2 linked regions of the Ovis aries genome follow. The main gene of each other region encodes a partner of the protein of the gene in region 2 in a complex. Links are inferred from orthologs where the notes say so. Each region holds a gene or a part of one and is shown on either strand. Other genes may lie near its edges. The genes, in order: TYROBP and SYK.

What was found.
Region 1: the proteins of SYK (region 2) and TYROBP are in contact, whole or in part, in a crystal structure (PDB 7Q5W), measured with the Homo sapiens proteins. The link is inferred for Ovis aries from reciprocal best matches to the Homo sapiens genes SYK and TYROBP. Residues at the interface, in NP_001167638.1 of Homo sapiens: Arg22, Arg42, Asn46, His62, His63, Tyr64, Thr65, Ile76, Ala77, Gly78, Gly79, His92, Asp97, Gly98, Leu99, Arg175, Arg195, Arg197, Lys212, Leu214, His215, Tyr216, Arg217, Ile228, Pro229, Glu230, Gly231, Lys232, His243, Lys247; in NP_003323.1 of Homo sapiens: Pro90, Tyr91, Gln92, Glu93, Leu94, Gln95, Arg98, Ser99, Asp100, Val101, Tyr102, Ser103, Asp104, Leu105, Asn106.

The regions. Positions count from the first base shown.
Region 1 is NC_056067.1:45,899,087-45,903,579, forward strand, and holds TYROBP (TYRO protein tyrosine kinase-binding protein), read right to left. Parts: upstream 3,034-4,493; 5' UTR 2,978-3,033; coding exon 2,923-2,977; intron 2,545-2,922; coding exon 2,518-2,544; intron 2,356-2,517; coding exon 2,221-2,355; intron 2,064-2,220; coding exon 2,020-2,063; intron 397-2,019; coding exon 331-396; 3' UTR 165-330; downstream 1-164. UniProt on the Homo sapiens protein: Adapter protein which non-covalently associates with activating receptors found on the surface of a variety of immune cells to mediate signaling and cell activation following ligand binding by the receptors.
Region 2 is NC_056055.1:25,897,770-25,901,583, reverse strand, and holds part of SYK (tyrosine-protein kinase SYK), read right to left. Parts: intron 2,007-3,814; coding exon 1,797-2,006; intron 958-1,796; coding exon 768-957; intron 1-767. UniProt on the Homo sapiens protein: Non-receptor tyrosine kinase which mediates signal transduction downstream of a variety of transmembrane receptors including classical immunoreceptors like the B-cell receptor (BCR).

The sequences.
Region 1 (4,493 bases), on a different chromosome or scaffold from region 2:
TCCACCCTGCTTTGGGGCTGGAATAAAGCCATTGAAATACTTCTTGTTTTAATTCTTTCTCAAAGGCTCCTTCTCATTTATCTGTTTTCTGAGTCCTTGATCCCCCCAGGACTCCATATATCCCCACCCCATCAGCCCAGGGATCTGGAATAACTCAGCATTGCTTGTGTGCTCGAATGTTTATTTGGGGGCAATAGTGGGGAGAGGTCTGACATCTTATGGAGGTCACTCTGTGCATCTGTGTCTTGGTGAGATTAGGAGTAGAGTGCTGAGCAGGCATCAGGAATGACTGGATCCAGACATCAGGTTGTTGACTGCCCTGCTTTGGACTCATTTGTAATATGGCCTCTGTGTATTGAGGTCGCTGTAGACATCTGTCCTCTGGCCCTGGAGCTCCTAAGGGATGGATAGGGTATGGACCATCAGTGAAAGGACCACCAGGGTATGGACCAAATAAACTGAAAATCTAGCTTTCTTCCAGGGGCTGGCAAGGCCTCCGGAAGCTTCTTCAACTTTGTAGCCATGAAAGAGATCTGGGATTTTATTCAAAGGCATTCAGTGTTCGCCTCTTCCCTCTGCCTCACCATTACGCCCCAGGCAAGGGGCCTTTGGGTGTGCTCTTCTCTCTGCCTGGAACACCAGTCCCCCAGATATTCCCATGGGAGGCTCCTTCTCCCCTTTCTAGTCTCAGCTCATGGCATTTTCTCAGAGAGGCATTTCTCTTTTCCTTTGACCACATGGCATGTGGAACAGAGATCAAACCTGGGCCCCCCTGCATTGGAAGCACAGAGTCTTAACCACTGGACCACCAGGGAATTCCCTGAGAGGCATTTCTTGGTTCCCTCATCTCTAGTTTCTCCTCCTCTCAGCCCAGTCCTTGTCACATCAATATGCTTTATTTTCTTCACACTGCCTCCCCAAGTGATCTTGTTAATTTGCTTCAAGACTGTCTCTCCAGCTAGGATGTAAGCTCGCCAGCATCTAGCCTAAATAACCCCTCAACAAATTTCACCAAAGGAATGAATGAATTGGGGCTTTGCCCTAAAATGTTACTGCCTCCCAGGAACTGGAAATTCCCTTGAGTCTTCTGGTCCTCATGGAGCCAAACTTGAGATTCTTATATTTTACAGAGAGACTTTCAAGCCACGAGTGGGGCAAACCAGAGCTGGTTGCAGACAAATAAAACAGACTTCACAGAGCAGGGTTCACAGTGGGGGTGGGGTAAGGGTCTGTGGCCCCAAGATGCCCGCCTCAGATATCCCTAAAATCACATACAAATGCCTGGTCTGGGAGTTCATCTTTCTGGAGAGGGTCTGTTTGTCTTCCATTAGATTCTCAGAGGAACTCATGATCCCGTAAAGGGTTAAGAATAACACTGACGGGGTGGAAGATGGAAAGATGACATTTGCATCATGGTTCTTAGTTGCGGCCTGTGGGATCTAGTTCCCTAACCAGGGACTGAACCTGAGCTCCCTGCATTGGGAGCGTGGAGTCTTGGCCATTGGACCACCAGGAAAGTCCCTGTATCATCGTTCTTAAGGAGGGTTTCAGGGATACTTGCACTGCCCGTAGATTATATGAACAGTTTTACGTTTTTCGTATGGATTTTTTCTGAGGAGTCTCTGGCTTTTGTCAGTTTCTCAAAAGGAGACAAGATCTGCTCCCTGCCCCCCACTATTAATTCTAAAACTCCTCATTTTAAAGTTAGTAAATTGGGTTGAATTATATCCTCTGCTCTTCGGAGGACTTCTCTGAGAAATCAGCATGTCCTGGGCTGGGCTTTTCCTGCCTTCTGGCTGAGGCAAATCATCGCTGAATTTCCCCTCCGTACATGGTAAGCTGAGGTAAGGTCATGACTGATCACTGAAAGCAGTTTTGGACGCTTCATGTTCAGTGTTTGAGGAGCTCCTGAGAAAGTGGCTTCAGGGTCTGGGTTCTGCCGGGACTGGGAGAGGGCCATTTCGGACAGACAACCACAGGGCCGGAGTGAGAGATGAGGCAAGAACTTGGTTTCCTTACCTGATAAGGCGACTCTGTCTCCGTGATGTGCTGTTTCCGGGTCACTGCTCAGGGGTGGGGTGAGAATTGGGACTATTTTCTTGTTCCAAAGTCAGCCCCTCCATCACCTCCCTTTGGGAGGCTGTGACTTGGGAGCTTACCCTTCCCTTTCCAGGCAAGTCCTCAGAGGGTCCCAGGCCATCCCCAGCCAGCCCCACTCACCCTCCGCAGCCCCTCGCCCCCGAGGGACCAGCCGACCCAGGGAGTACACAGCCAGAGCGATGAGGAGGGTCAGCATCAGGTCCCCCAGCACGATCCCTGCCAGCACGCCTGGGCTCAACGAGGAGCAGTTGCATTCTGGGAATGGATGTGTTATAGGAGTCAGGGGAGGCCACTGGGAGTAGGAATTGGGAGGAGGTGTCAGTCATCAGCGGGGGAGGTGTGGAGAGGCCGGGGAAGGGTCCAGAGGTGGGGCAATCTCTGGGAGGTAGGGTGGGGGATTGCAAGGTCTAGACCTACCCCTCTGGGCCTGGACGAGGCTGAGACCTGAGGAGAGGAAAAGAAGGTAAACTGAGACACGGGGCTGTGACTGCGGGGTAGGCATAGAAGCTGGGGAGGGTGTCTCCTGATGCCCGGCGTGCATGAGAGGGAGCTGGGGGCCGTCATCAAGGCCTCTGGACTGTGTTCCTTCTACATCGACTTGTCCTGTCGCAACACTCTTAGAGTCCGCTCCCTCTGCTTCTCCCCAGGCTAAATCTTGGGGCGGGTAGGAGCGCAGGCTCTGGGAGAGACTCATAGGGTTTGGGGAGCTGGGGATCTGCTGCAGTCCCAACACTCCCCCGCCCCACTTCAATTCTCTCTTTCCACCCAGCTCCCTGCCCTGCCCCGTGCTGAGCCCAGAAGCTGCAGAAGCCCCCAACTCACCACCCACAGTCAGAAGGAGAGATAGGAGCCTATCGGAGGGTCTAAGGCCCCCCATGATGCAGGCAACGCTGCTGGACACCACAGTCCAAGGCGGGTGGGATGTGGCGTAGTGTCCAACCAAGTAAAGGAGGAAGTCTGAGGTGGGTGGTGGCAGGAGGGAGGAGGGGACGGTGGGGGAGGAGGAACAGAGACAGACAGACATCACCAAAGAGAGTCAGGCCCAAACACCCCAGGCTGCAGCCTCCAGTGGTTAGAATGAAGGGTGATGGGCGCATGTGTCCATTCAACCTCCACCCCCAGACAGAGGTCCACCATCATTGTCACAGGAGGGTCTCTGGCTGACTGTGATTGGAGCTAATCTCTGCCTCTTCCTGGCTGGACAACCTTGAGCAAAGTCACTCAACCTCTCTGGGCCTCAGTTTCCTCACCTGTAAAACAAGGAGTAAAATAATACCTACTTTGAAGGGTGTTGTGAGGGTTGAATAAATTTGTATCTCTAGAACAGGGTCTGACACTTGTCAGCTTTTTATAAGCACCAGTTATATTTATTTGACAATCAGAACCTTGTAATGTTCATAGGATATTAAAAGAGACCACCAGGATACGGGTTTTAGTAACGCACAGGCACCCTGTCCAAGTGTTAATGCATTTAAACCCAAGCACACCATTCTGAGGCAGCTTCCCTGGTAGCTCAGTTGGTAAAGAATCCACCTGTAATTCAGGAGACCCTGGTTTGATTCCTGGCTTGGGAAGATCACCTGGAGAAGGGATAGGCTACCCACTCCAGTATTCTTGAGTTTCCCTGGTGGCTTAGATGGTAAAGAATTCACCTGGAATGCGGGAGACCTGGGTTGGGAAGATCCCCTGGAGGAGGGATAGGCTACCCACTCCAGTATTCTTGCCTGGAGAATCCCCATGGACAGAGGTGCCTGGTGGGCTACAGTCCATGGGGTCGCGAAGAGTCAGACATGACTGAACAATGAAGCACAGCACACCCTCCTGAGGAGGTAGATGCTTTTATTCCATTTTAGAGAAGGATAAAGACACTCGTCCAAAGTGACACAGCAAATAAATGTGGACATAGAACCCAGGACCCAAGGACAGATATCTGACCCTTGAAGAAAAAGAGAAAAGAACCAAGATGGAGGCGAGGGAAGGAGAAAGTGGCGACCAGGCAGAGAAAGAGGGAGACGACTAGGCAGTCACACAGATGCACACAGCACAGACCCAGGCCTAGGGCTTTGGGGTGCGGCAGGTGGGGGCAATGGGTGACACTCGGCCAGGCTGGGCTGCCCCTGTCAAATGAGGAAGTGGCTGGAAGCCCGTACTGAGAGAGGCCACCCAGGAGATGACAAGGACTTTTAGCCGCAACAGGAGAGGAGCCACAGCTGGGGAAGGAGGAACCTGAGGTTAGGGGCTACAGGGGGATGGGCCAGCGGCAGGAAGCCCCGTCCAGGCGGCACACTCACAGTTCCCCGGGCCTGGGCTCAGGAAAGAAAAAGGGGAAACTGGATGCCAGTCATGAGACAGACCCTGAGTGACTTGTTGGAGTTGGGGGTGGGTATTTGGAG
Region 2 (3,814 bases):
CAGCCTTTGTGCTGACCCTTCGCTGACTGAGATCTGCTATCCATCACCATCTGCCATACCCACTCAGAGAAAGCATGAGTGGGTGTATGTGGTCGCTTAGGTGTCTTCTCCAGCCACTTTGTGGTATGGCACTCAGGGGAAGTCCACGACTCTCACCCTGCCATTCACTAGTTAGATCATCAGGGTATGTCATCTATTTCTGAGACTGTTGGACATTCCCAGGGTCATGAAGAGCTGAGAATATGTTCTTGACACCCTTTTCTGCTATCTCGTCTCTGTTACATTTTCTAATGGGTCAGGGTAGACTCTACATACACTCTGTGACTGAGTTCATATGAGGATGGGGCTGTTTACTTTTTTCCCTTCTTTTACTTGCTATCAGTTCATTTGAGGGTTCATAAAGAAGCTTTGAAAAATCCTACTAGAGTCAACCTGTCCAATATGTATTTTCCAAAGTAATTTAACAAATGAATTCTATTCTTGTTTTTTTTTCCAGATGAATCATCATTAATACCTTGATTCCCTATTTTTCTAAGGAACATAGTTTGGAAGATACTATTCGGAGTAAATCTCAAGTTGTGACATATTAGAGTATTTCCATCTTTTTAACAATAGAATCAAAGCTTAAGAAGAACATTTCTTACACAGTCATTTTTCTATAGGGAAACTGCTTCTTGAAATCTTACCAAAATAAAATAAAGAACCATATATTTGCATTTCAGATTTTTACTACCAGCTGCTCTCAATGGTGGGTGAGTTGTTCGTACCTTGTAGTAGTTTTCATCAGCACGAAGTGCTTTGGAAAGTCCAAAATCACTGATCTTGGCATAATGTTGAGTAACCAGCAATACATTCCTTGCAGCCAGATCTCTGTGCACAAAATTGCACTCTTCCAAATATTTCATTCCCATAGACACCTGATGAACCAGCTCTATGATGTTTTTATCCTTGACATGCCTGAAAGCCACACATATGTCATTAATGATAGTGAACAGGAGTCCATTTCAGAGCAACCAACCATGCTTCTCACACAGAGAGAATATGAACCCACTTATTTCCTATTCTTCTAAAGCAAGAGTCACAAGTGGCAGTGACTGGTATTCAGCTGCTAGAATTACATGAAAAGCAGTATAACAGGGTGGTCAGACCTGGCTCATGGAGAATCAGGGTTCAGTTAGAACCCTCATTCCAATATTGAAAAGGTAAGAACACAACCTTGAGTCCCACTGAAGCACAAGCATAGGTACAAATGGGATAAAGTAATCAGTGGCTATTGTTATGATTTATTCCTCATGATTCTCTATCTCAACCATGACTGGAGATGAGCATAGCATGATTACTCCATTGATGGTTGCCATGAATTAACAGCAATGGATATTTTCAAAAATAATTACTTATGGGAATGCAGTAGTTAGCCAGATATGTAAAATATCACTGTTTTCCCATATAAAATGTTTATTTAATTGTTTCCTTTAAAAGAGCACATTCTTTCTGCCTGGTGAGAGGAGAATGCTTTCTAAGATAGTCTAGGGCTGACTTTATTACCAGGCCAGTATGACATGAGCAAAGGAGACCAAATTGTTGAATTAGAGTTTTTCTTTATACATTAAGGGGTAAAGAACACTTGATCCAAAGACTACAGCTTTCAAACCTCCCCACTCAAGGTCCCTGAGGGTGGGCCAACTCTTGGAAGGCACCGGAGGAGACAAGGGTTCTGGAAGAAATCAGGCTATGATGTGCACTGGGCAGGCAGGCCCTGCCCCTCACATATGAGCTACTGGGGCACCTAAGGATACCTGTTCTGTTGTAAATATTTGTTGAGTGGACCAAGTTCTGCCATCTCCATGACCAGCATCCAGGACTCAGCTTCACATATCCCTATCATGCGCACAATGTAAGGGTTGTCAAGCTGCTGCATGACATTCGCTTCTGCTAATAACTCATCCTTAAGAGCAGGGTCATTGGCCTCATTTTTCAGGATTTTCACAGCCACTGTTTTCACAACTCTGCAAAAGAAATCAAAACACATAAGAAACTTTCCAAAGTGGTTCACGTATGGATAATTATCTTCCATGACGCATAATTCCTGTGCTGGAAATGAAGTAATGGAAATACCTGCCACAGAGTGGAAATATGTCTGAAGAAGCCATGTTGTACATGGCTAATTCTTCAATCATGTTCTCTCATTTTATAGACAAGGAGTAATATGTAATTAGTTGAAAATAATCGGAGAGTGCCGAAGAATGCCCCAACCAACCAGAAAGCTGACACACTAGAATATTTAAATAACTTTCAAACAAACTTTAAAAACTGACATGCATGGATTCCAGTAACATCTTGAGATTTATCACATCATTATCTATAATGTATGTAATTACAGCATGCCTTTAATATATGTTACAATGAATTTCTAGATGCAGAATTAAAAAGCATGCACTGTTGAAGCTTATAATTTACAAAACACTTCTAAAAACTGAATTTTGTTCATTTTAAGCATGCTTCAAAAAGTTTGGAAAAAAACTAATTTTTTTCCATTTTTGAATAAAAGCATCATTTAAGTCATGTTTGAACTCTTGAAAATATCCTGACATGGTGGGGGCTTAAAGAAATAAATAGCACTTAAATATGTACAATTTGAAAAACTGCATCTTTTCATGATACAGTTCCCACAAATGCAGGAAGTATAACTCTTTTGTTGAACTTCAAAAGTAGAAAATAAAAACAGATGTATCAAATAAAATACGTTAAATAACATAATAACAGGTAAGTCTGACATACATTCAGAAAAGAACATATAGCTGCAGTGTAGAACTCAAGAGTATTTACACATTGCACACAAGATGTAGTTCCTACACAGATGGAAGTATAGAACGTATCCAGTACCCAAGAAGCCTCTGCATCCTCCTCCTGAGATCAAGGAAATATAATATCATGCCATCTCTAGATAGCTTATTGTTTCACCTTTCACATTTCGGTCTACCATCCATCTGGAATTAGTTTCATGTATGGTGTGAGGTAGGGGTCAAAAATAACAAGCACAAACTTCTTGATTCTTCCAATGTTTAAGGAAGAAAGACCATTCACAAAGTTTTCCAGAAACAAAAGGAGGAAGGGAACTTCCCAACTCATTTTATGATGTTACCATCAGCCTGATGCCAAAACCAGACAAAAAAATTACAGGAAAATAATTTACTGATATCTCCCATCAATGTAGATGCAAAAATCCAAAGGGAAATATTAGAAAATTTAATTCAGTGCTTTATGAGAAAGATATAATGAATATATAATTCATGAATAAGATAGGTTTATTCCAGGAATGCAAGGTGGGTTTAACATTTGAAAATCAATCAGTGTAATTCATCCATAAACACAACAAAGGAGAAAAAGACTATCAGCAGAGGAGAAAAACTAAACAAAAAATGTAACACCCACTTACAATTAAAAACAAATCTCTCAGAAAAGTAGAAATAAAAGGGAACTTCCATAATCTGATAAACAGCAGCTATGAACCTACTGGTGAAATATTGAAAGTTTTCCCCCTGAAATTAGGAATGAGGAATGTGACCGCTGACACTTTTATTTAACATTGAACCACAGTATCTAGTTAGTACAATAAGACAAGGAAGAAGTGTAAAAGTATAAGAATTGCACAGGATAAAATCAAACTGTTGTTATTTATAGATGATATATTTCTGGGTCAAACAATACACAAATAAACTACTGGAAATAATGAGTGAAAAATAATAGAAGAGTTTAAGAAAAGTTGTTGGACATCAGGCAAACAGACAAAATCATATTCTTGCATTCAAGCAAT